Linked DNA regions of Caenorhabditis elegans. The protein of the gene in region 3 interacts with the protein of the main gene of each other region in a pairwise test. Each region holds a gene or a part of one and is shown on either strand. Other genes may lie near its edges.

Region 1 (4,374 bases), on a different chromosome or scaffold from region 3:
CATGGTTTTACACACTATTTTTTGGGAGCACGGAGAGTTGCAAAGATTGAAAAAAGGTTGGGTGCGCGTTCCGTCGAATGGAATGTGCTGATACGGTGTGTGTTTGACCGAAACGAGTTTCTGCTTAACTATATGTACCAAAGTTATCGTTTACCTTTTTAGGTACTGCTGGTAAATATTTGTCTTTTACATTTTGAGATGAACATTTGATTTCACAAGTACACTTTAAGTTTATCGACTTTCAAGACCACTCATTACGACATAAATAAAACTACTTTTTCCCTGTTCGCGCACTTATCATTTTGCTCACTAAGCTTCCATCAAAGTGTTGATCTCCTCCGCATCATTTTTTACATTAAGATAAATAGGCGGGAATTCAGGGTTTATGTTCTTTGGTTAACCATACAGTGTGAGTATAAAAGGCCTGGAAACTAGAGAAAATCATCTGTTCCAATCCTTTCGAACCGTATCATGCGCTTCTTCGCAATTGCAGCTCTTCTTGTTTCAAGCTGTTTCCTTATTGAGGTATAATGGCCATCTAATAGTATTGTTGAGCCAAATGTTCATTTTAAATAGTTGTTGAACAGGGCTGAGCGGCGATCCAAAAAAATCGGCTAAGTACCCAAATTTAACAAATATTTGTTTTTCTTGAGCATTGCTTGCAGACATAAGATTATATATTCCACGATTTCAGTCGACCACGATTGACCACGATTTCAGTCAAATTTCACAAAAATCATTTCCAGGCAACAACAATTCGCGATAAACGCCAATCCTGTGGCTGTGCTCCAAGAGTTCAACCAAGTTGCTCTTGCCAACGAACCACCTATACTCAACCACAACAGTACAGTTGTTCCTGTCAGAACACTGCTCCAGTCCAGAAATCCTGTTCATGTGCCCAACCAGTTCAGCAACAAACCTACCAAATTCAAGCTTCTCAATGTGCCCCAGCTTGTCAGCAGTCTTGCCAGAACCAATGTCAATCTGCTCCATCTGTTAGTCAATGTCAATCTACATGCCAACAAAGCTGTCAGACTTCTTCCTGTTATACTCCAACTACTCCAGCTCCAGTTCAATGTCAACCATCCTGCATGCCAGCCTGTGAACAATCCTGTGTTGTCCAGACTCCAGCTGCAGTTCAATGCGTGCCACAATGCCAACAACAGTGCCAACAGCAATGTGTTCAAACTCAACCAATTCAACAATGTCAGCCACAATGTCAGCAACAATGTGTTCAACAATGTGCTCCAACCACTACTGCCGCTCCACAAATAATCAAGATTAACATGGAAATCTCTGCTCAGTGTGTTCCTCAATGCCAGCAATCATGCCAACAACAATGTGTTCAACAACAAGTTCCAGCCCAACAGTGCAATCAGCAATGCACCCAGCAATGCCAGACCACCTGCCAGCAAGCAGTTCCACAATGCCAACAACAGTGTGCTCCACAATGCCAACAACCATCAGCTCCACAGTGCCAGCAGTGCCAGAATACCTGCCAACAAGCTGCTCCAGTTTGTCAGCAACAGTGTGCTCCACAATGTCAACAGCAATCTGCACCAGCTTGCCAACAATGTCAGACTTCGTGCCAACAAACTCAACAGTGCCAACAACAATGTACTCCACAGTGCCAGCAACCATCTGCTCCACAATGCCAGCAATGCCAATCTGCATGCCAAGCTCCAGTTGCCACTACTGCTGCTCCACAAGCTGTCACAATCATTCTGGAAGCTTCAGTCTCCCAATCTGCACAATGTGAACCACAATGCCAGCAATCATGCCAACAGCAATGCGTTCAGCAGCAACAACCAATGCAACAATGTGCTCCAGCTTGCACCCAATCATGCTCTCAATCCTGTTCTGCTGCTCAACCAGCCCAGATGCCATGCCAGACACAATCAGTCAACTCCTGCTCGTGCCAGCAAAACTATTCTCCATGTGGAAATGGACAGTGTTGCAAGAGAAAGTAGACATCGAATGCGTAACTTTGACATCAGTTCTCTGTATATATGACACAATTTTCTCATTTTTTTCACAATAAATAATAATAATGCTTGAAATAATTTACTTCTAACTTCCAAATAATTTCTTCGATAATCAGCAACAAATAAAGTCCCATAAATTTTTTTCACAAAACATTATTTCTAAATGCCACGGTATTTTTTTACTCCTGCGGTAAATGAAATAAAACTTCACGCAATCCAGCAGTACATTTTTTACAATTTTTGAATATTTCTCAATCATTTCTGCATTTGGAAGTCGTTTGGTAAGTTCTTTTGAACATGATTTGAACCAAATAAAGTTTATATGATTTAGACAAGAAATTTAAAAGTGAAAACCAATGTCATGGTATTCAAAGATTTACGTAGCAGTGCGAGAATACCGCGCTAAACATAAAATCACTGGATGGATTTTGACGAGATGTCTCAATGTACTTCTTTTCATTCAACTTATTTTGCTCTGGTGGTCGTGAGTCATTCTTGATTGTTTGCGAATCATTTAACTGGGTCTTTTGCAGACTTTATATGTACGTGACAGTGACAATTGGTTATTACGTTCAGTCAACAATTCAAGCAACCATTTATTTGATTGTTGGATCATTTCTGTTTGTTATGTCAATGTGGAGTCTTGCAAAAACGTTGTTCACGAGAGTTGGCAGAGTTCCAGAAAGATATCGACCTAGTAAAGAACTTGAAGATAGATTGAAAGCAGTCACACCGATGGAGAAAAATCGATACGTGGTAGAGAAATCGACACCTGAACAGGTAAAGTGAAAAAATCAAAATAAGTGGTTTAATCTTGTCTTGATTGTTTTGTTTTTTATTATTATTTGTTTATTTTATGGATGCTAAATACACTTTATATAATACACCAACAAAGTTTTCAGCTTGCACAACAAAATACTATTTTGGAGGAGATGTGTACTTACTGTAAAGTAGTCGTCGCTGAATGTGATCAAGTGGGAAGGCTCAAGTATTGTTACGAGTGCGGACATATCAAACCGGATCGTGCCCGACATTGTAGCTCATGTGGGAAGTGTTGCATTAAGTATGATCATCACTGTCCATGGATAAACATGTGTGTTACACACGTCAATTACAAGTACTTTCTACTCTACATTATCTACACCAGTTTTCTTGTTTATTGGTATTTGCTCACTTCACTAGAAGGTGCTGTTCGATATTTTATCAATCAACAATGGACCGATGAATTGGGAAAGTTTTTGTTCTACTTGTTCAGTTTTATTGTCGGCGGAGTGTTTGGTTACTATCCACTCGGTGAACTTATCATATTCCATTATCAATTGATCTCATTGAACGAGACAACTGTCGAACAAACAAAACCAGCTCTTCTAAGATTTGATAATGCAGCTGACTACAATATGGGGAAATATAATAATTTTCAATCAGTGTTTGGATGGGGATTATGGCTGTGTCCAATTGATTCCAGCACCCAGGATGGTCTGCATTTCGACATAAGGTATTTTAGAATTTCGTTTAAAAATCAGTTTAGCACTACAAAACGTGCGCAATAAAGTATTTCTTTCTGAAAATTTTTCTTGTATATAAGCTAATCAGATATTTTTCCAGATACGTCAACACCCAGCAACGGAATCGATTTGTTAGAATTGAGGAGGAACCATCAAGTACTCAAAGTTCGCAGTCATCGATTCAATGATTCGGTTTAATGAAACTTTCCTTGATGTTTTTTTTTAAATTAATTTTTGTTCGTATCTATATACAGTGCTCCACAAAATGATACGGCCACCCCTAAATTTTGGTATAACTCAAAACTGGGTTAAGATAGCAAAACATAGTTTCATGTGAAAATGTTCGTTGTACTGGCTAGCTTTGAGATAAGTGATGGAAATATACCCGAAGCGTTCGTAAAAAAGAAAAAAAAACATTTTTTCATGAAAAACTATTTAAAAAACTCCACAAAATGATACGGCCAGGTGGTAGAAAAGTAGGAAAACTTAGAAAAATAAGGAACAAGAGATGATTAATAATCCACGGGATGAGCTCTTGTACTAATCACATCAAAAACGCGTGAATCCATGAAAAGTTAAAGATTGTCCAGGAGAGTTTGGTCAACTTTATGCCATGCGTCAAGAATTGCTCTTTTGAGGTCGTTAACATTGCTATTGTTTCCATCGTAAATCTTTCTCATCATGAATCCCCAAACGTTTTAAATTATGTTTATGTCCGGGGAGCAGGCAGGCGAGTCGGGAACAGGGAGCCCTCTGTCACTTATCCACTTGATTGTACGACGCGCGCGGTGACAAGGCGCTCCATCTTGTTGGTAAGTGTATTTTCTGGACCTGTTTCGACGGATAAACGGTATCAAACCGCGCCTCATCACATATCTGTAATC
Region 2 (5,399 bases), on a different chromosome or scaffold from region 3:
TACAACTAAAATCGAGCCGCGACGCGACACGCAACGCACCGTAAATCTATTGAGCCAACATGGCCTAGTTTGGCAAACTCTTCCATTTCAATTTACGAGGGAAGCCAGAAATCCGTGAATCTGGCTATAATTTGGAAAAAAAGCAGTTAAACTCCTCGCTTCGAGACCTAAAAACAAAAAATCTAAAAATTCGTATTTTCTGCAATTTCGCGTCGAGTTGTGGGCGCGCAATAGAGCGCGCTTGGTGTAATTCCGCGCAATTTTCAGGTAATAGACATGTCTAAACTGCCACATCATAAACTTTTTCGGCAAATCCACTGTCTCTTTTGACCTCAATTCCACGATAGTTTCCCCCCACAAACAATTGTCCGAGACTGTTTTCCCATTGAATTGGGCCCCTGCGGAGCGAATTGTGTTTTGTTTATTTTGTAGGGGAGATTAGTTTCATAAAAGTAATATATTAATTGTTATACACATTTACCTATTCAGTCTCGAGTGGGGCGGCTTTATATTTGCACAATTTCGGGCTCTTTTTGGTGAATATTTCATAAATTCTGAAATTTGATACTTTTCGCCTTATTTATAGGCAAAAGTTGTAAGGAAAACGGCCTTTTTGGAGAAAAAAATGTTTGTGGCCGGTGTTTTCTCTTTCCGCGGCCACGGAACGCGTTTGAGTTTCAAATTTTTAGGATTTCTGGCTTCCCTCATAAATTGAAATGGGAGAGTTTTTGCCGAACTAGGCCATTTTGGATCAGTAGATTTACGGCGCGTTGCGTGTCGCGTCGCGGCTCGATTTTAGTTGTAAAACTAAATTTATTTGTCCGTGTGGAGTACACGACTTTCCCGCCCGGCAGGCGATTGTCAATGGAGCGCGAAAAATTATATAATAATATTAACGAAAATTGATAAATTTTTGAAACCGTTGTGCGCCTTTAAAAATGGAGTACTGTATATTTTTCCGAAAAAAAAAACCAATAAACTTCACAGAAATCGAATGATTTCAGACATGTACGTCTTTAAATTTTAATCGATAAGAATTTTTATAAACATGTTCGAAAAATCGAGAAACCCTCAATTTGTTTCATTAGAAACGTACATGCTTTTTTATATTTTGGGTACTGTAATTTTTAAAGTTTTAAGTCTGGAAATCAATTTTTTCACGGGTTTCTGGCTTTACTCTCATTGAATTTTTCGCGCTCCATTGACAATCTCCTGACGGACAACGCGTGGGAAAGTGTCGCGTACTCCACACGGACAAATAGATTTAGTTTTACAACTAAAATCGAGCCGCGACGCGACACGCAACGCGCCGTAAATCTACCCCAGATATGGCCGAGCCCATATGGCCTAGTTCGGCAACTCTTCCATTTCAAGCCAGAAATCCGTGTTTTTTAATTCCAATTTTGAAAAATTTAAGGAAAATCGATAAATTACAAGCATGCCCCTTTAAACTTCGGTTACTGTAGTTTTCAAAGTTTTAAGCCTGAAAATCGACTTTTTCATTTTAAATTTGAGACATTGAGGAAAAATCAATAAATTTTAATTTTAAATGTTTTATCGACGTTTCCACGTGCCACAGGGCAACCTTTTTGTCACGTGCATTTTCCGAAAATCGAAACCAAACCGTTTAGTTCAAATTTCAATCATTACCGTTTTTCTCCCTGCATAAACAACAATTTTGCACGTGGTAAGTCAATGTTCTCGTCGTCTGGGCTCTCTCTCTCTCTTCTCGCCCACTCACCACGCCCTGTCCAATAGAGCGTATTTGCAGAAAAAAGAAGCAATGGATAGTAGCACACATAGTACCGCGGATTTCGGGCGTCTCGTGTGGATTTCGGATGAAGCAGAGGGCTTTGTGGCCGCCCGTATCACAGATATCGCGGAAAACGGCTTCACATTGGCCACTGAAAAGACGTCGGAAACTGTGAATCGTCGCTATGAGGACACATGGGCCTGTGAGGAGGATCCGCAGAAGTCGGTCGAGGACAATTGCGCTCTAGTGCACTTGAATGAGGCGACACTGCTCAACAATTGTCGTTTGCGTTATGCAAATGGCAAAATCTATGTAAGTATGGAGCAAGCATGTGGAATCGAACCCCGGTCTTGTGTACAAAAGAGTAGCTCGCTAACCACTAGACCAAACGCGCACAGCTTGCCGGCCGCCTGTGGAGTGTTTATGTGCACGGCTGTGTGCGAGACACCCCGCTGGTTTTGTCAGCGTCTTTATGTAGGTCTCTCCGGCGCGTCTGTTCCGTGGCCTTGTGGCCTAATGGATAAGGCGTCTGACTTCTAATCAGAAGATTGCAGGTTCGAGCCCTGCCTGGGTCAAATCTTTTTGTTTTTTTTTTTTTTAATATTTTATTTTATTTGGCTTTTTCAGACCTACGTGGCAAACATTCTGATCTCAATCAACCCCTACCAACTGATCGATGGACTCTATTCTCCTGAAACGATTAAAGAATACCGTGGAAAATCGCTCGGTCAGATGGAGCCGCACATTTTTGCGATCGCCGACAAGGCCTATCGAGAGATGCGTCGTATCAAGACGTCCCAATCGATTATTGTGTCTGGAGAGTCTGGAGCCGGAAAGACTGAATCACAGAAAGCAGTGTTGAAGTACCTCTGTGAAAACTGGGGAACCGACGCCGGACCAATTCAGCAGAGACTTCTTGAAAGTATTATTAATTTGAACTTTTGGAAAATTCGAAATAGAGCGCGTTTGCAGTAACCGGGAATTTTTTCCCGTAGAAATGGATGGAAGGTGTCAGAGTGTCTTATTTTGGCTTGATCTACGTTGATCTACAAAAAATGCGGGAGCAGAAACGCAGACATCTCATCTGATTTCGCTTTTGGTTAAGAACGCTCTGACGTCATATATTTTTGGGCAAAAAATTCCCGCATTTTGTGTAGATCAAACCATGGATGAGACAGTCTGGCACCATAAATGTTCACTTTTTTAAACAGAAATCGATAATTTCCATAATTTATGCTGAAGCTCAAGATCTAAAATAAATTTAAAATTTTCAGCCAACCCAATCCTGGAAGCCTTTGGAAATGCCAAAACTCTGCGCAACAACAATTCGAGTCGATTCGGAAAATTTGTGCAGATTCACTTTTCTGATAATGTAAGCTTTTCCCAAGTGATGGCCATGTGGCCGTGAAAAATTTCAAAAACTCGGCCACCAACAACCACAATTTCCAGGGAACTGTCGCCGGTGGATTTGTGTCTCACTATTTGCTGGAAACATCGAGAGTCTGCCGTCAAGCTGCCGGAGAAAGAAACTACCACATTTTCTATCAATTGATTGCCGGATCGTCACCGGATTTGTACAAGAAGTTGAGATTGGCTCCGGCGAGCAGTTTTAATGTTAGTCTCTGTTCTAATTGAGGAAAATCGATACTTTTCAGCAGAAAATCGATACTTTTCAATAGAAAATCGATAATTTTCAATAGAAAATCGATAATTTTCATTGAAAATCGATACTTTTATGAAAATCAACAATTTTCATTAAAAACTGATAATTTTCAATAGAAAATCAATACTTTTCAACAGAAAATCAATAATTGTCAGCAAAAAATCGATATTTTACATGAAAAATCGATATTGTTCAACAGAAAATCGATAATTATCAAGAAAAAGTCAATAATTTTTCATCAAAAATCAATAATGTTCAACAGAAATCAATATATTTCACAAAAATCGATAATTTTCACCGAAAATAGATAATCTTCAGAAAAATTCGATAATTTTCACCAAAAATCGATAATTTTTTATCAAAAATCGATACTTTTCATTAGAAAATCAATAATTTTCAATAGAAAATCAATAATTTTCATTGAAAATCGATACTTTTATGAAAATCAACAATTTTCATTAAAAACCGATAATTTTCAATAGAAAATCAATACTTTTCAACGGAAAATCAATAATTCTCAGCAAAAATCGATATTTTACATCAAAAATCGATAATTTTCAAGAAAAAGTCAATAATTTTTCATCAGAAAATCAATAATTTTCTGCAAAAAATCGATAATTTTCACCAAAAATCAATAATGTTCAACAGAAATCAATATATTTCACAAAAATCGATAATTTTCACCGAAAATAGCTAATTTTCAGAAAAATTCGATAATTTTCACCAAAAATTGATAATTTTCAGCAAAAATCGATAATTTTCATCAAAAATCAATAATTTTCAAGAAAAAGTCAATAATTTTTCATCAGAAAATCAATAATTTTCTGCAAAAAATCGATAATTTTCATCAAAAATCAATAATGTTCAACAGAAATCAATATATTTCACAAAAATCGATAATTTTCAGCAAAAATCGATAATTTTTTTCAATTTCAGTACTTGAAACACGGAGCAACACTGTTCTTTGTCAACTCCAAGTCTTCTCTGAAAACCGACGCAAGCCGCTTCTCCGAGACCAACTCTTCAGTCTCTGATTCCATTATCAGTGATATCGATGATTTTGCGAAGCTTGAACGAGCTCTCGCACTATCTGGAGTTTCAGACGATGAGAAGATGTTCATCTGGTCGACAGTTGCCGGGATCCTTCATCTTGGAAACATCGAGTTTGAGGAGAACGCGAGTGATTCTCGTGGTGGATGCATGATTACTTCGGGCACTGAAAACTCGTTGATGGCAGCTGCAGAGCTTTTGGGCTTGGAGCCGGAAGAGATGAAGCTTGGACTATGTGCTAGAATCATGCAAACTACGAAAGGAGGTGTCAAGGGTACCCTTATCCGTGTCCCTTTGAAAGCTCACGAAGCGTCTGCTGGAAGAGATGCTCTGGCTAAGGCAATCTACTCTAAGCTCTTCGATTGGCTCGTTGCTCAGATTAACAAGAGTATTCCATTTGAGAAGAGCACAGGGTACATTGGAGTTTTGGATGTCGCTGGTTTCGAGTACTTTGCCGTTAACTCATTCGAGCAGTTTTGCATCAATTTTTGCAACGAGAAGCTTCAGCACTTTTTCAACGAGAGAATCTTGAAGCAGGAGCAAGAAATGTATGAAGCCGAGGGCTTGAACATCCAGAAGATTGAGTTCACAGACAATTTGGATTGCATTGAGCTCTTCGAGAAGAAAGCCTCGGGGCTCTTTGACTTGCTCGATGAGGAAGCCAAATTGCCACGTGCCACATTCCAACATTTCACCCAGAGAGCTCACGAATCGAATAAGAACCACTTCCGATTGGATGCACCGCGCAAGTCGAAAGTCAAGTCGCATCGCGAAATGAGAGATGACGAGGGATTGTTGATTCGTCATTATGCTGGAACGGTGTGCTATGAGACGAGATATTTTGTTGAGAAGAACAATGATCAGTTGCACAACTCGTTGGAAATGCTCATTGAGCAGTCATCGTGAGTTTTTTTTTTTTGGAGGGAGCTAGGA
Region 3 (6,506 bases):
TTTGAATATTAACTTTTGCAGAAGGGTGAGTAATTATTAATGGTTTTTGAAACACAAACAAAATGCAACTGTGAAAACAAAAATGGCAATATGCAAACTTTTTCCGTGTTTCGTAAAGTTCTGAATTTAATGACATATTGTTCACTTAATATACCTTTAAAAAGAGAAGAGCTCTAATAGCAGAAGTTTGCAAACTGCAGTAAGAAACTTTATCAGTTTCTTTCGAATCATCAAAAGCCGTCACTGTACTCGATGCTCCTACCTAATATGAGCTCCTAAACTAGAATAGCTCAAAAACATAATTGCTCTGATAGCAGAATTTTGCAAACCACAAGAGCCTTTATGAAGTTTTTCAGCAAAAATTATTGTCATTTTAATAAGGAACGAACCTTTTTTTACATTTCTGTATAAGTTTTGGATAAAAAAAGTTGGATTATCATATTGAAATAAGCCGGTTTGTGCGTTTGCCGAAAACAATCGCCGCACAGCCCTGTCCTCCACCAACTTTAAAAGTTAAATTGGACCAAAACGTTATTTCTCATCCCAATAATTTCCAGGTTCAAAAACGCGGTCTTCTATGTCTTCTCTCGTGTCTCACCTCTCTCGATCACCTTGAAGTCCTCGGAATCCGTGCCTACTCTCATCACCTTCTCGCCTTACATATCAACTTTCCAAAAACCATAGTCTCAGATTATGTCGAATCAATATCCATCATAATTCCACCTATTCCTCCTCCGATCCCTCCATCAGCTATTGTCAAAGCCTAGCAATTTGATTTCTGTGTTCTCCCCCCAGTCCCTAAGCCCGGTTTCAGAATTTTCAGGTAACGAATATCGCATTAAAAAGTCTAGTCATTTTCAGCCTTATTTTCCCCGGATTTCTTTTAATTTGTTAACTTGTTTAGATGTATAAAAAACGTATGTTTATATTGAAAACTATTTTAATCCAAGTACTTGACTGTAAAAAAAATAATGCTGATCAGAAAAATTAGCGGGAGCAGGAACATCGCACTGAGTTGAGCCACCACCCAGTCGTAATTCATGACCATCGTCTGAAAAAAAAAAGGATTTTTGAGCTTTTAGATAAAACATTGGCCTGCTAATTTTAGACATTTTCAAGTACACTTTCTTGAAGTGAAGTTTGCAATATGGAAAGAAAATTTTGAAAATTAAAAGGTGGGAGTTTTATTTTATTTTTTACATTTTGGGCTTTTTGACTAACTGTTGCGGTATTATAGAGGAACTGTAGGGTTGCTGTAGAGCTACTGTAGATACGGAAATATGTTTCTGTATGACTACTGTATGATTACTTCAGGGTTACTGTATGATTACTGTAGAATTACAAGAGTATCACTACAGGGTTATTGCATGGCTTGTAGTTTTTGAAAAAAGATTAAAATGTTCAACAAAAAAATTGATTGCAAAAAACCGTTAAAAAGTATATTATTTTAATGTTTTTAGATCGAGTCGGAAATTTTTTTCGAAAAACAGGAAAAAACCAGAAAAAACTAGGCTTCTTGTTTTTCAGGAAGGTATTGAAAAACGACATGAACCCGAAAGTAAAAAAACATTTTGGAAAACAAATATTTTTTCTTCGATTTTAAGAAAAGAAAACCGAAAAATAGACACATCTTGGCTTTTCTGTTTTTTTTTTTAATCTGAATGTTCATATTTGTAATTTTTGAAGGAATATAATTGAACCCCAAATTTCGTCTTTTCAATGAAAATTAATCTGCCAAGCAGCCTCTAATAAATGCCGAGTGTACAGACTCCGCCCCTTTTTCGCGTTTTTTCGCGTTTTTTTTTGGCTTGCGAAAAAATGTCACACACGTTTTCATTCACAACTCCTGAACCGTGTGACTTCATGCTCTAATATTTGAAATCCTACTAGAAATATTTTGCCCCACGGTGGAGCAGAAAACGACACTAAGTTCGGAGCAAAATTGAGCCCAGGGCGGCTTTCCCCAGTTTGAAAAAATTTTTTGTTGCTCTTTTTACCCCCAAAAAAGCATGTTTTAATTGAATTAAAATTCGGGTTTTGCTCGGTTTTGTTCCAAATTTCTGTGCAAGATACTACTCAGAGAGACTGATTTTTTGAAAAAAAGTTTGAGTTCATAAGTGCAAAAGAAAAAAAGTTGTGATAAAACAAAAGGCCAAAAAATGACATTTTGCCAAAAAAATTTTTTTTTCCGAAAAAGTAGTTTTTCGTCTTTATCTCAAGTTCTACTTCATCTTTTTTGATATTTTTTTTTTTACACCACGTAAAAAAGTACGCTGAACACGATTTTTAACTCAGAATTGGAAAAAGTTCTATGAGTCGGCCGAGCAAGACGAATAAGTGCCAAATTTTGCACACTTTCCCATCTTTGCGAATCTACTTTTTCAATCATAACTCGGTCAGTTTTCAAGTTTTCTTAGTTTTCTAAAAAATGACGTGTAGGTCTCATCAAGACGCATCGAGACATATAAAATTTGTAAAAAGTTCAGTGGGAAAATTTTTCAAGAAAAAAATAATTCAAAAATTTTGTACTGGGAGGAGTGGTTTCCTGGGTCCCCTGAACATTTTTTCCACTAAAGTTTCGCGGAATGTATTTTTAATTCATAGTTTTTGATTTTATTTAATGGAAGATGAAGTTTCGTCGCGTTAGCAATGCTCTGCCAAGAGATATTATTTTTTTTAATTTTCAGGCTAAAACTTGTTTTTTTCTATACATCTGTCTGTGTACAAGATATAGCCCTCAACTATACGTCTCCTTTTCGGGAATTCAATAATGAGTACAATCCTGTAATAAAATTTTCAAAAATTAGGTTTTCCGCTGACTTATCAGTGATAAACGGTTTTCGAACGTCTTCCCCAAATAGTAATAATTGAAGAAAGCGGAATCGAAAGACGACTTCCTCCAGAAAATGTTCTTCCCTACATCCCAGTTTAAGGTGTCACCCGCATGGCCGAGTGGTTAGTGCGTATGACTGCAGAAATTTTGGTTGTTGGTTCAATTCTACCAAGTGTCAATTTTTTTTTGTTTTTTGTGAGTAATCGGGATTCGAATAGAAATACTCAATTTTATACAAAATATGGGTACGTCTCCCCTAATATAAAGCCTCCTCAAACTTCAATCAATCAAAACTCAGCTTTAACTGATTCATCGGGTGCATCTGTTTTTGGTCAAACCGAACTCAAAAAACAAGAAGACTCCCATTGACCTACTGAAATTTTCACAAACCCTCTAACAGGTTCGAGGCGAAGTCGAGAACCTACGCCCGGCAAGGGGACTCGCCTTACACCCCTACAACTGGCGGGCCCGCAGGGCCCGCTAGTCGAAAACCCCCTTAAAAACTGACCGGATCCTCATAACACCTATACCGACACAAATCCTCCTTAACACAAACGAGTCCTTCTCCACAATCAGTGTTCAAATCGCATTGTTTCCAATGCTTCATCACTTCTTCTCCATTCAAATTCAATTGTCCTATCACCCACAAATTACCTGTCTCGTTGTGACAGAACATGAAATTGTATTTGGTATCCACTTTTTCCGTCGAAAAACAGTCCATGTTGGTTCGAAATGTCATACTTCCGAATGTCAGGTCGGTTGGGCGAGTTATTTCTGGAATTTAGTGTGGAATTAGAATTCAGTTTTTTTTTAAACTTACTTGGTGGGCAGCTATACCCCTTGTAACAGAGGCCACCACGTTGATCACTACTTCCAGAATACACCATTCCCTTTTCGACGTCTTTACACTTTTCTTGGCCATACAATGGAGTTATTCTGTCAGGACAAAACGGCGAATCAGCGGCTTTTGGGTCAACTGGAAATGTCTATATTTTAACTGAAATTACACGAAGAGGGTTACAAACCATTGCAGCAAAATTTGGTCTCAAGATCACACCAGCCACTGTATCTCTCCAAGGATGCTGTACAATCTCTTGATCGGTTACAAGGTTTGACAGGGGTGTCCGGCATGCCGCCAATGCAGATTTGTTTGGCTGAAGATAACAAGGTAAAATAAAGTTTTATTGCCCCCGGCATCTCTTGGGTTTTTTTAACCAGGGAGGTGCCGGGCGCTGTCTCTCTAATTCCTTAAACTCACTATCCTTGACACATCTCTTTTCGCTAAGCCCGGTGACATTCATACACGCTGCGAAATTTTTTGGGCAATCGGATAAAACTGTGCATTTTGGACTAGACGATAATGAAACTGAAATCCTTATAGCTTTAGTTAAAATAGAAATTAGGTAACACTCACAGTTTCCAGATGCCTGAGAAAATGGAATCAGGAAAATTACAGCTAGTATCATAATTGATAGTTTTAACGGAGAAATAATTTTCGAAAGACGGTGTAAACGTGGAAGAAAAATGGGGAAGTGGTTTTTTTTTTCAATGTTCACGTAAAACGGAGGCATGGATTAAATCGTGGACAAATTTATATTCTGAAAGAAGTTGACTGAAATTCAAGACCTAAAGTTTCAGGCTGTGTGAGTTTTTAGAAAGTATGGCTTTTGCTTTTTTCTTAGCTAAATGAAAGTTACATGTACCAACAATACATACGCCCACAGTAACCTTATAGCAACGCTTTGTAACCCTACAGTACCACTACAATAACTCTACAGTAACTAAACAGTAGTCTTACAATAACCGTACAGTAACCGTACAGTACCCGGTTAGTAAGCCTACAGTAGCACTACAATAACCATATCCCTTTATTAACTCTATACTAACCTTATAGTAATCCAGCTGAACCACTACAGTAATCCTGCTATTTTGTTCATCGCGGTACTCAATCAATGTCGGCTGCACAGTAGGTTCCCGCAGGTATACGCAGCCGACATTGATTAAGGTTTACGATGAAACACTCGTTCCCACGTATCTCTTGCGCCTCTCCTATCATACCTTTTTCGAATTTCAGGCATTAGGGGTACTGTAGATTTATTCTGTTGCAGTTGTAGGTGGCTATTTTAGTATATTGAGTTATTTATCAGAAACTCCCACTAGTACTTCTTGCACGGTCGAATAGTTTTTCATATTGATATTGAGAATTCACCCAAATATACGTGGCCATCTTTCAAAAATATATAATTTCATCATATTTTTATTCCAAAATATTCCAAGTATATCTGTTCTCAAAACCAACCTCATTGTTCACATATAACAACGTCACCAATTTCAATCATCAAAATTCACAAAAATAGAATTTTGAGGTGGTAATAATCCGCGTATTTTTTTTGTATAAATAGGAAAAGTCTGAGTAAGTGAAAAGGAATTTTTGATTAATTTTTGGTTATTTTGTGTCGTGTGTATGTGTGGTCGCCGATATAATTAATTTGATACGTTTTTTACGATGATGATGATTGCCCAATTTTGACAGAATATTTTAGCATGTTTTTGTTATGCCTACAAAAATTTCCAATTTTATGCGTTTTCTTATCCTGTGAAAATCTATCTCTGAAAATTATTTTCCTATTGGTGCACCTTTAAATGTAGAATCTGTTTAAAACCGCTCCTATAGTTCTGAAATGCCCAAATAGCAAGTAAAAGGTTTCAAATAATTCTTGAAATTTTTTGAAATTTTCAGTCAACGTTTTTGCAAATTTCCTAATTTATAGAAATTTGACAGAATTCAAATATAAAATTCGTACTTTGATTTTTTTTTTTTCGGTTGACACTCAAAATTATGAGCCACAATTTTTCACTGAAATTTTTAAAAAAAGTTAATGGGTTTTAATGAAATTGTTTGTGTGCAAAATCGCATTCAATTTAGCCGGTGAGGTGCTAAAAGGGCGAGTGAAGAGGCGCTCCTTGCGCCTCCGCCGGGATTAATTAGGTGTAGGTAGAGACCTTAAGGCTGCCTGAATTTTTAGTTTCCACAAACGATTTTAGTTCTGTGAATATGTTTTCAACAATCGCATACATATTTGCTATGAATTTAAGTTTTTTTACAAATCCAGGAAAATTTTCAAACTTCCAGAAAACATTTAGCGAATTCCGACATTTTTGTTTCAGAATACAATAAATATTTTCTTGATCTCAGGATTTTTTTCACGAGAAAAAAATTGATTCCAGAAAAAATCGTTTTGTAAAACTCCAGATAGCCATTTACCTAGACCTAGTTTTTACAATTTGGCATTCTCATTTTTATAAAATTGGATATATTCCATCCGGCCCGGGTGGCAAGGAGGTGGTTGCCATGTGGCCAGAAAAGTCGAGCCCACGTGGAGTGTTTAAAAATTTACTTCTTAAACTATTTTTGTCAAAATGTCAAAAACTCCTTTCACCGACTCATATTTTATTTTCGACAAACAATAGCTACCCAAGAAGAACATCTAAAAACAACCCTGCTCCTCTAATCCCTCAAACTATACATAGTTATATCTTTTCAAGTCAAATCTTGAAAATAAAATCTTAACTATCACCTATCTAACTGACCACAAATGCTACTTCACCTGAAAAGAGCAGGGGATTTCAAGCATGTCGCGCTTGTCCAGTTCATTACCAAAAGAGCATAGTA
Region 4 (6,669 bases), on a different chromosome or scaffold from region 3:
AAAATTGTTTTTGATTTCTAAAAATCTCCCAGAGAATTTGCTGATCCCTAAACATTCGTACAACTATCAAAATTCTAATCTTCAAAAAATCAGGTACAATTAAAACTGTTCCTTGTGAAGTCAATAATAATTGAGAGAAAAACGACGTTCTGTAATATGTTCAAAAAATTGAATCGATTGTGTGTTTGTACTGGCAATGAAAAATATGAAAAATCAGTTTGCATAAATTCCAATACGAACCACACAAAAGACGATGAGAAAATGTTGACGTGGAATCCCAAAAAAATCGGTTTTTTTTCAGCGAAAAGTGAACAAAACATGTTCACACCATTTAGCTGAATACATGTAATAGAGAAAACAAAACAGAGATTTGTTGGCAAAGTCGCCATTGGAAGCCGATCAAGTACATGTTCATGTTTGCCTACTGTTACTAGATGTTTTATTGTTTACATCTTACTTATTTGTTTTTTGAATTATCGAGAGAAACATTAAAACGCGAAAAAACAATCAGACTAAAACAGTACAATAAAAGTTCAAGTATCGCAACAATGTCTGAACGATTAGGAGATGAAAGTGACCGACAGAGATGGGAAGGAATGTTGACTTGTTTAAAATAGTTTAAAACAAGAAACAGGTTGCAGAAAGTTAGAAATACGGGGTCGAATAACACAATGAAAAGCAGAAAAAAGGTACTCGAAAAACGATAAAAAAAAGTACGAGAGGAAATAGGTGGGCACGGGGGAAAGTGGGAGGAAAGGCTAATTAAACGGAAAAGGGGCAAGCAAAAGTCGAAATATGGTTACGGTTGATGGAAAGAAGGATTCAATTACTACGTACAATTGACCAAATTGATAATTGACGAACTTTTAAAAATTTTGTTTACTTTTTGTTTATGTTGTATTGTGTTGAAAACTAAATTGTGCCGAATTATACGCATCATTTTGAAAAAGGTAACTCTCTGCCAATTTTAAGTTCTTGAAAGTCATCTATCATCTAATTTGAACGGTTTTATTTATGTAAGCCAAGTCAGTAAGAAAGTGAGTTTAAAAAATAGATAATACAAAAAATAAATATGAAAAATAAATACAAAACCAAGATTTTGGCGAGTTTGTGGTTTCTTACAATAAATTCTTGATAGATTAACAGATACCTTCAAAAACAAATCAATGGTTGAAATACTAATTTTTAACGAAACCAGGAATTCCTACAACTGTCAAAATTAAACTGGCACATGGGAAATTGAGTATCAAACAAGCAAATTAATGTTTTCTAGTCAAATCAGGGATCAAACACAAAGAATAAAAAATCTAAGGTTGTGTAACCAATGAAAAACCGAACACTGACCAAGTTTAGTCAAATTGAAAGTGGGTGAAAAATGACTGTCGACCGAAAACCAGTCAGTATGAAAAGTCTGTTGAAATTGTCGCCGACAACGGGGGTAACCACGACGATTTCGGGTTTCACACACCATCAAATATATCCTTTTGTGCGTCTCTCTTATGGAACAATATACAAGTTACGATATATTTTTTTTTGATTTTCTGTCTCTCTACTATCCAAATTTTATATTTATTGGGGAAAAATGTACAGTATAGATTGAAGCCTGGTGAGCAATCGGAAGCAAAATCATTTTCTTTGTTTTTTGTTTTTTTTTATTCGTCGTATCTATTGAAAAGAGGCAACATTGCGTCGGAAGCCCCAAAAAGGGACGGGAATGACAGTACAATTGAATTCTTCTCTTCAGAAATCTGAAATTCTTCAGAGAATTAGAAATACAATTAAAAGTTGTGTTCGAGGGGACAAGAACATAACCACACCCATCCGTTTTATTGAGGATCTGAATGTTCACGTCATAAAATGAAAAAAAAGGGGTTTGTTTATAGGTGTTCTCTATATCGGATTGACCCAAATCGGCCTACAAAAAGAGGAAATGAGATATGAAGTGGCAATAGATACAGTGATATGATAACAAGCATTACGATAAGCAACTCGTTTTTTTCATTGCAATGAAGCAACGAAAATTAGTGAACGCCTGTTCCGAAATCAGATGTACTTCTGGTGATAAAAAGAAATAAACAATCGATGTACTTTTGGTAACGTGTATTCTGTAATTCAGTTCACAAATGTTTGAAAAATTAATATTGTTGCCAGCGGTTCCGAGAGATGTATATCCTATAGTTAGTGTATACTATAGTTCCATTGAAGCTCGTAGTTCTGAAAAATTCGAAATAATTGGTTTCATAGGCACACAAGTAGGCACATTTTGCTTGAAAACCTTATTCTAACTTTTCCACGTATAACCGTTTCAAAACATGAGCTATTGAATCACATAGGTCTCAAATGCCAATCCGTTTGGCTCTCTTGGCTCTTTAGTAAGCAAAGCCGAGAAAAGGGACACCTGCAGTTTCCCAATTCGGAGAAAATGTTCAAAACGTGAACTCAAATCTGTTTGCCAGCGGTTCACAAATTTTCAAAACGTATCATGGTGAAAATATTTATTTCACCTTTTTAAAATCTAACTGAATTGTATCAACTATGGGCTTAATTGGATTATGGAATGTAAAACGTCGAGCCAATCGAGCTGTGAGAAAGTTTCAATTTGTGGTTAATAATATCAGACGGTTGGTTAGAGTGTGGATTTTGTTCAAACACATGAAAAATTTCAGAGAAAAATCAGGTCAAAACCGAGTTTTAAGATATTCTGAACGTTTGAAAAAATGGTTGTCCGTTTTATATCCTCCATGGAAAAAGGAAAAAGATGATGGGATTTATGACAATTTATTCGAAGATGGAACAAGGTTTTTGGAATTATTTTGAGAAAAAAGAAAATCTTAAAATTATTTTTCCAGAGCTAATTCTATTGTACTTCTATTCCGAAACATCCTAATGATTGAATTATTTGGAATAGTTATGTATTTTCTGTTGTCGTTCAAATATTCACAATACCCGGAGTTGTAAGTAGATCATATCCTAAATCTAAAGTTAAATATTTTCAATATAGTATTGGAACTTCCATATCCACAATTATCCACGTTTTTCTGATTTTCACTTTGATATTTCCAAAAGTAAGTACTTCAGGATTTTTATGTGGAATTAATAAAATATTTCGTTTCAGATGATGACGTACTTTATGATTTCTATCCACGTCATGTTGACTACAAAAATCAAAAACATAATTTTAATTCTTCTTGTCACAATGGCTTTTGAAGTTTTATCAATTCATCTATTCACGGGAACATCTCAAACTAATTTCAGGGTCCTGCAATGAATGTTATTGGAAATATTCATCAAGTAGCTTCTGGTGTTGCCTGCGTTCAAATTGATGTTATGAGTTCAAGAAATGATGTGGAAGGGAATGTAATGGATAAAGGAGCTATGCTTGTTTCTCGGTTTCGTGCACTTCTTCAAAATGTATCTGGTCCAATGAATAAGGTCAAGAAAATGCTATTGGTTCTAGATGAAAAGATGACAAAGTAAGTTGCAATTGGGATACCCAAAATGTCAAATTCTTGTAATTTGATTAAATTGATATTGTTTCAATTAAGATTTGTGGACATCATGAGGCGACATTATCGAGTTATAGCCAACTTGTCAAATCAATGTCGAAATATGCTCAAAACTCCCTATACAAAATGTCTTGATATTTTCGACGACGCATATTTTTATTGTAAGGGGAAAGCTCGATTTTTTGGAAGCCACGGCGATGCTTGTGAAATGATTCAGAAAACTGCAAAGGTATTCAATCAGTCAACATATCAATCCTATTATAAAACATTAAGATTTGCCATCAAGCAAAGGGTTTCTCAACGGAAGTATGTTCTTTACCTTCTATCATTGGAAAAGGAGTTAAAGGAGCAGCTGTACCATTTTATGCAGCTTACTTTCAAGCAATTGAATTCGCGGTGAAAAAGATTTTCTACGTACACATTGAAGCAGCAAAATGGGCACTGAAGAAAGTGAATCCAGTGATAGAAGAGATAAAAAAGGCGAAAAACATTCGAGCTGAATACCAGTCATCTGATGATGGTAAACCAAATGCTGCAGATGATACAACTGCAAACTTGAGAGCAAGTATAAAGAAAAGTTTGATGGGAATTGTGAATGTATACATACGGATTATCAATATAATTTCATTTATTCTTCGATATTGTATCATGCCAGGATTGCTCATATGGCCGTTCATCTATGTGAGTTTAAATAAGTAATATGTTAACATACAAAATTTTGAACTGATATTTTTCAGACACTTCGGTTCATGTATAACTACAACTATAATGACGACTTTAAAAACCGTTTTCTCACAAAAGAATTTACAAAAATTGATCAAGATTGTGCATTTCGCGGAGCTCGTAAAGTCATGCCATTAATGGCAAATGAATCAAAGCAGGTAGGTTTCTCTGGTTCATTATCATTCTAAAAATCTTAGACACCGTTTAGTATGTCAGTCGAGGTCAGTGGAAAATGACAGAACAAGAGCGACCTAAATTTCGATTAGATATTTTCATCACAATTGTCAGTTGTGTCACTCCTTTCTTTATGTGTATGCTTGATTATGGTATATTTACGGTAATTAAATGAATAAAATTATATTGACTTCAAATCTATAGATTCAAAGTTTCAGACTCTATCAACTGTTCATACTTTAATGAACCGAACAAATATCGATACTCCTGCTCATTATGAATTGAAAGTTGCTGGAAATAGTTCAATGTCAGATGTGATGAATGAATTTCTCGATGTTTTCAGTCCATTTACTAAAAGTATTCGAGACCGTGAAAATCGTTGGAGACGATGTTTCAACGAACCAAATCCTCCAAACTATACAGAAAATATGGTGATGTTTCTCATGTTTATCGCTGCACTTTTTCTTTGTCGATTGAAGGTTTGAAGAGTTGAGGAGTACTGTTAAGATATATTTAATTTTTGAAGGCATATTTTGGAAGGCAAACACTTGTATTGGCAGATTACTTCTTTCCGAATCGAGTAAGAATTCGTGCATTGAGCCTTTATAACAAAATTTTACAAAGTCGACGAAATTTGCTGACAGAAATGTTAGGAAATAATAAGGTAAATGGGAATTTCCGGTCTCGAGTTGACTGAAATATTTTCAATTCCTCGATATTCACAACTTAAACATTGAAAAAAAGTTAGCCACTACAGTACTACTTACTACATCACTACGTCACCGGTACCGTATTTTTTGAGTGATAAATCCCGATTTTGCGAATTGATAGTATTCAAAAACAGATATATTTTTTCCTGAATTTGACATTCCGATTTGATTTAAAAGTAATTTTTGCACTCGTAACATTGATAATTGACAGAAAGATGTAGTGGGTGGTGAAGATGTCATAATTCGGAGAACAATGCAAAGTCGTGGATTCGTGTGCTCCGATTGTGTAAAATGTGAAAAGTACGATATGAAAGTGTCTGATCAAGAGTTAGTTTTGTTTATTGATGATCAAGAAAACAAAGCTATTAATTCAGAAATGTGCGAGTGTGTGTTCATTGTAGTGCTTTTTACTGTATCAACTGTTTCTCAGTGACTCTTTTCTGTGTGAAATGCGAGGAGGAAATGCAATGTATTAACGGGATTGAGCTATACTATGAGGAGAGTAACGCAATTATTGATGACTCAGGTAAAATTAACTTTATTTAAACATTAATAATCATCTATTCCAGATATTTCATTGAGTGAACGCGAAGACGACGAACCTGACAAAGAACCAACAGAAGGAACAACCACCACCGCAGTAACCACTGTCGTCTGAATGATGTTTGAAAAATTAACTTTCCCGCCGTTGGGGAAAGCGCGCTCCAATGACAATGTACTTTTCGAGTTCAAATTTATTTGCCTTTTGGCGCAGTTTTCGAAATGATTTCGTTCATTTATTAGTTTTCTTATTATTTCCTCGAACTTCAATGATTATTTTCCAATTGAATTCAAATAAATTATCATTTAAACTTCATTTTATTTGTTATTTATGGGTTTTCCCGTTTGGAACTCTAATTCACTGATTTATTGTTTCAGAAATGATGGGTGATAGTCATTCTTCATTCACAACAACGACAGATGAACATCTATATAATCAATTTTCTCCGGGAAGAAGGTATCAATTAAGTAAAGATTCATACAATGAGAATAATTATAGAAAGAACGATTTTCCCGCTGCAAGCAGTTCATCATCTTCACCAAACTTGCGAAGGTCCCCAAACCGCACAGTCAGTTCACCGCGTGTTCAACAGAAGCCAATCACAATTTTCGATCAAATCGTGGATTGGTTTCAAGCGGAAATCAGTGTTAGAAAGAGATTAGCTGGTGCTGCATGCGGATATCTGTCCACCATTTTCTTCATTGTCACAGTATCCATTTTGAAACTCACGATTTGGGCCCCTTTCAGCTCAGTTCAAGGTTGACGTTTATTTATTTTTCTATGATTGGACATTTCTCTTTTTCAGACTCCCTGGCGTGGTGGATTTATCCAAACGCATGGGCCTCAATCATTTTCGTTGGTATTGCTTCTGTAGCCATGTCTCTTTTCAGCATTATCAAATTTTGCAAAGGTGAGCTCATTACTCTTTTTTCTTAATTTTAAATCGAATTTAAGTTGATCAACTTCCACGATTGGCAGCTACTGATACGTTCGCTTTAGCTGGAGTTGCACTCGA

What was found.
Region 1: the proteins of spe-43 (region 3) and spe-10 interact in a two-hybrid assay, tested with the Caenorhabditis elegans proteins (one study listed by BioGRID).
Region 2: the proteins of spe-43 (region 3) and spe-15 interact in a two-hybrid assay, tested with the Caenorhabditis elegans proteins (one study listed by BioGRID).
Region 4: the proteins of spe-43 (region 3) and spe-42 interact in a two-hybrid assay, tested with the Caenorhabditis elegans proteins (one study listed by BioGRID).

The regions. Positions count from the first base shown.
Region 1 is NC_003283.11:10,382,007-10,386,380, forward strand, and holds spe-10 (Palmitoyltransferase spe-10), read left to right. Parts: upstream 1-2,243; 5' UTR 2,244-2,266; intron 2,267-2,316; 5' UTR 2,317-2,341; coding exon 2,342-2,469; intron 2,470-2,518; coding exon 2,519-2,765; intron 2,766-2,887; coding exon 2,888-3,480; intron 3,481-3,590; coding exon 3,591-3,678; 3' UTR 3,679-3,734; downstream 3,735-4,374. Other genes in the region: pqn-2 (Prion-like-(Q/N-rich)-domain-bearing protein), read left to right, coding at 472-525, 747-1,970. UniProt on the Caenorhabditis elegans protein: Involved in spermatogenesis, specifically in the morphogenesis of fibrous body-membranous organelles (FB-MO), which are Golgi-derived organelles used for transporting sperm-specific components, in spermatocytes and in their localization into budding spermatids.
Region 2 is NC_003279.8:1,444,883-1,450,281, forward strand, and holds the start of spe-15 (Myosin motor domain-containing protein), read left to right. Parts: upstream 1-1,614; 5' UTR 1,615-1,687; intron 1,688-1,771; 5' UTR 1,772-1,783; coding exon 1,784-2,065; intron 2,066-2,252; exon of another isoform or gene 2,253-2,352; intron 2,353-2,380; coding exon 2,381-2,675; intron 2,676-3,027; coding exon 3,028-3,125; intron 3,126-3,202; coding exon 3,203-3,367; intron 3,368-4,352; coding exon 4,353-5,368; intron 5,369-5,399.
Region 3 is NC_003282.8:13,138,056-13,144,561, forward strand, and holds spe-43 (uncharacterized protein), read right to left. Parts: upstream 4,300-6,506; coding exon 4,248-4,299; intron 4,200-4,247; coding exon 4,092-4,199; intron 3,988-4,091; coding exon 3,859-3,987; intron 3,810-3,858; coding exon 3,654-3,809; intron 3,608-3,653; coding exon 3,342-3,607; intron 1,052-3,341; coding exon 941-1,051; downstream 1-940. Other genes in the region: B0564.9 (F-box domain-containing protein), read left to right, coding at 1-25, 558-767.
Region 4 is NC_003283.11:11,732,835-11,739,503, reverse strand, and holds spe-42 (Dendritic cell-specific transmembrane protein-like domain-containing protein), read left to right. Parts: upstream 1-2,507; 5' UTR 2,508-2,535; coding exon 2,536-2,621; intron 2,622-2,666; coding exon 2,667-2,798; intron 2,799-2,849; coding exon 2,850-2,954; intron 2,955-3,001; coding exon 3,002-3,065; intron 3,066-3,115; coding exon 3,116-3,208; intron 3,209-3,255; coding exon 3,256-3,473; intron 3,474-3,545; coding exon 3,546-3,735; intron 3,736-3,779; coding exon 3,780-4,187; intron 4,188-4,243; coding exon 4,244-4,387; intron 4,388-4,437; coding exon 4,438-4,566; intron 4,567-4,621; coding exon 4,622-4,882; intron 4,883-4,929; coding exon 4,930-5,067; intron 5,068-5,324; coding exon 5,325-5,440; intron 5,441-5,487; coding exon 5,488-5,639; intron 5,640-5,682; coding exon 5,683-5,771; 3' UTR 5,772-5,964; downstream 5,965-6,669. Other genes in the region: npp-22 (Nucleoporin ndc-1), read left to right, coding at 6,034-6,110, 6,153-6,412, 6,460-6,564, 6,609-6,669.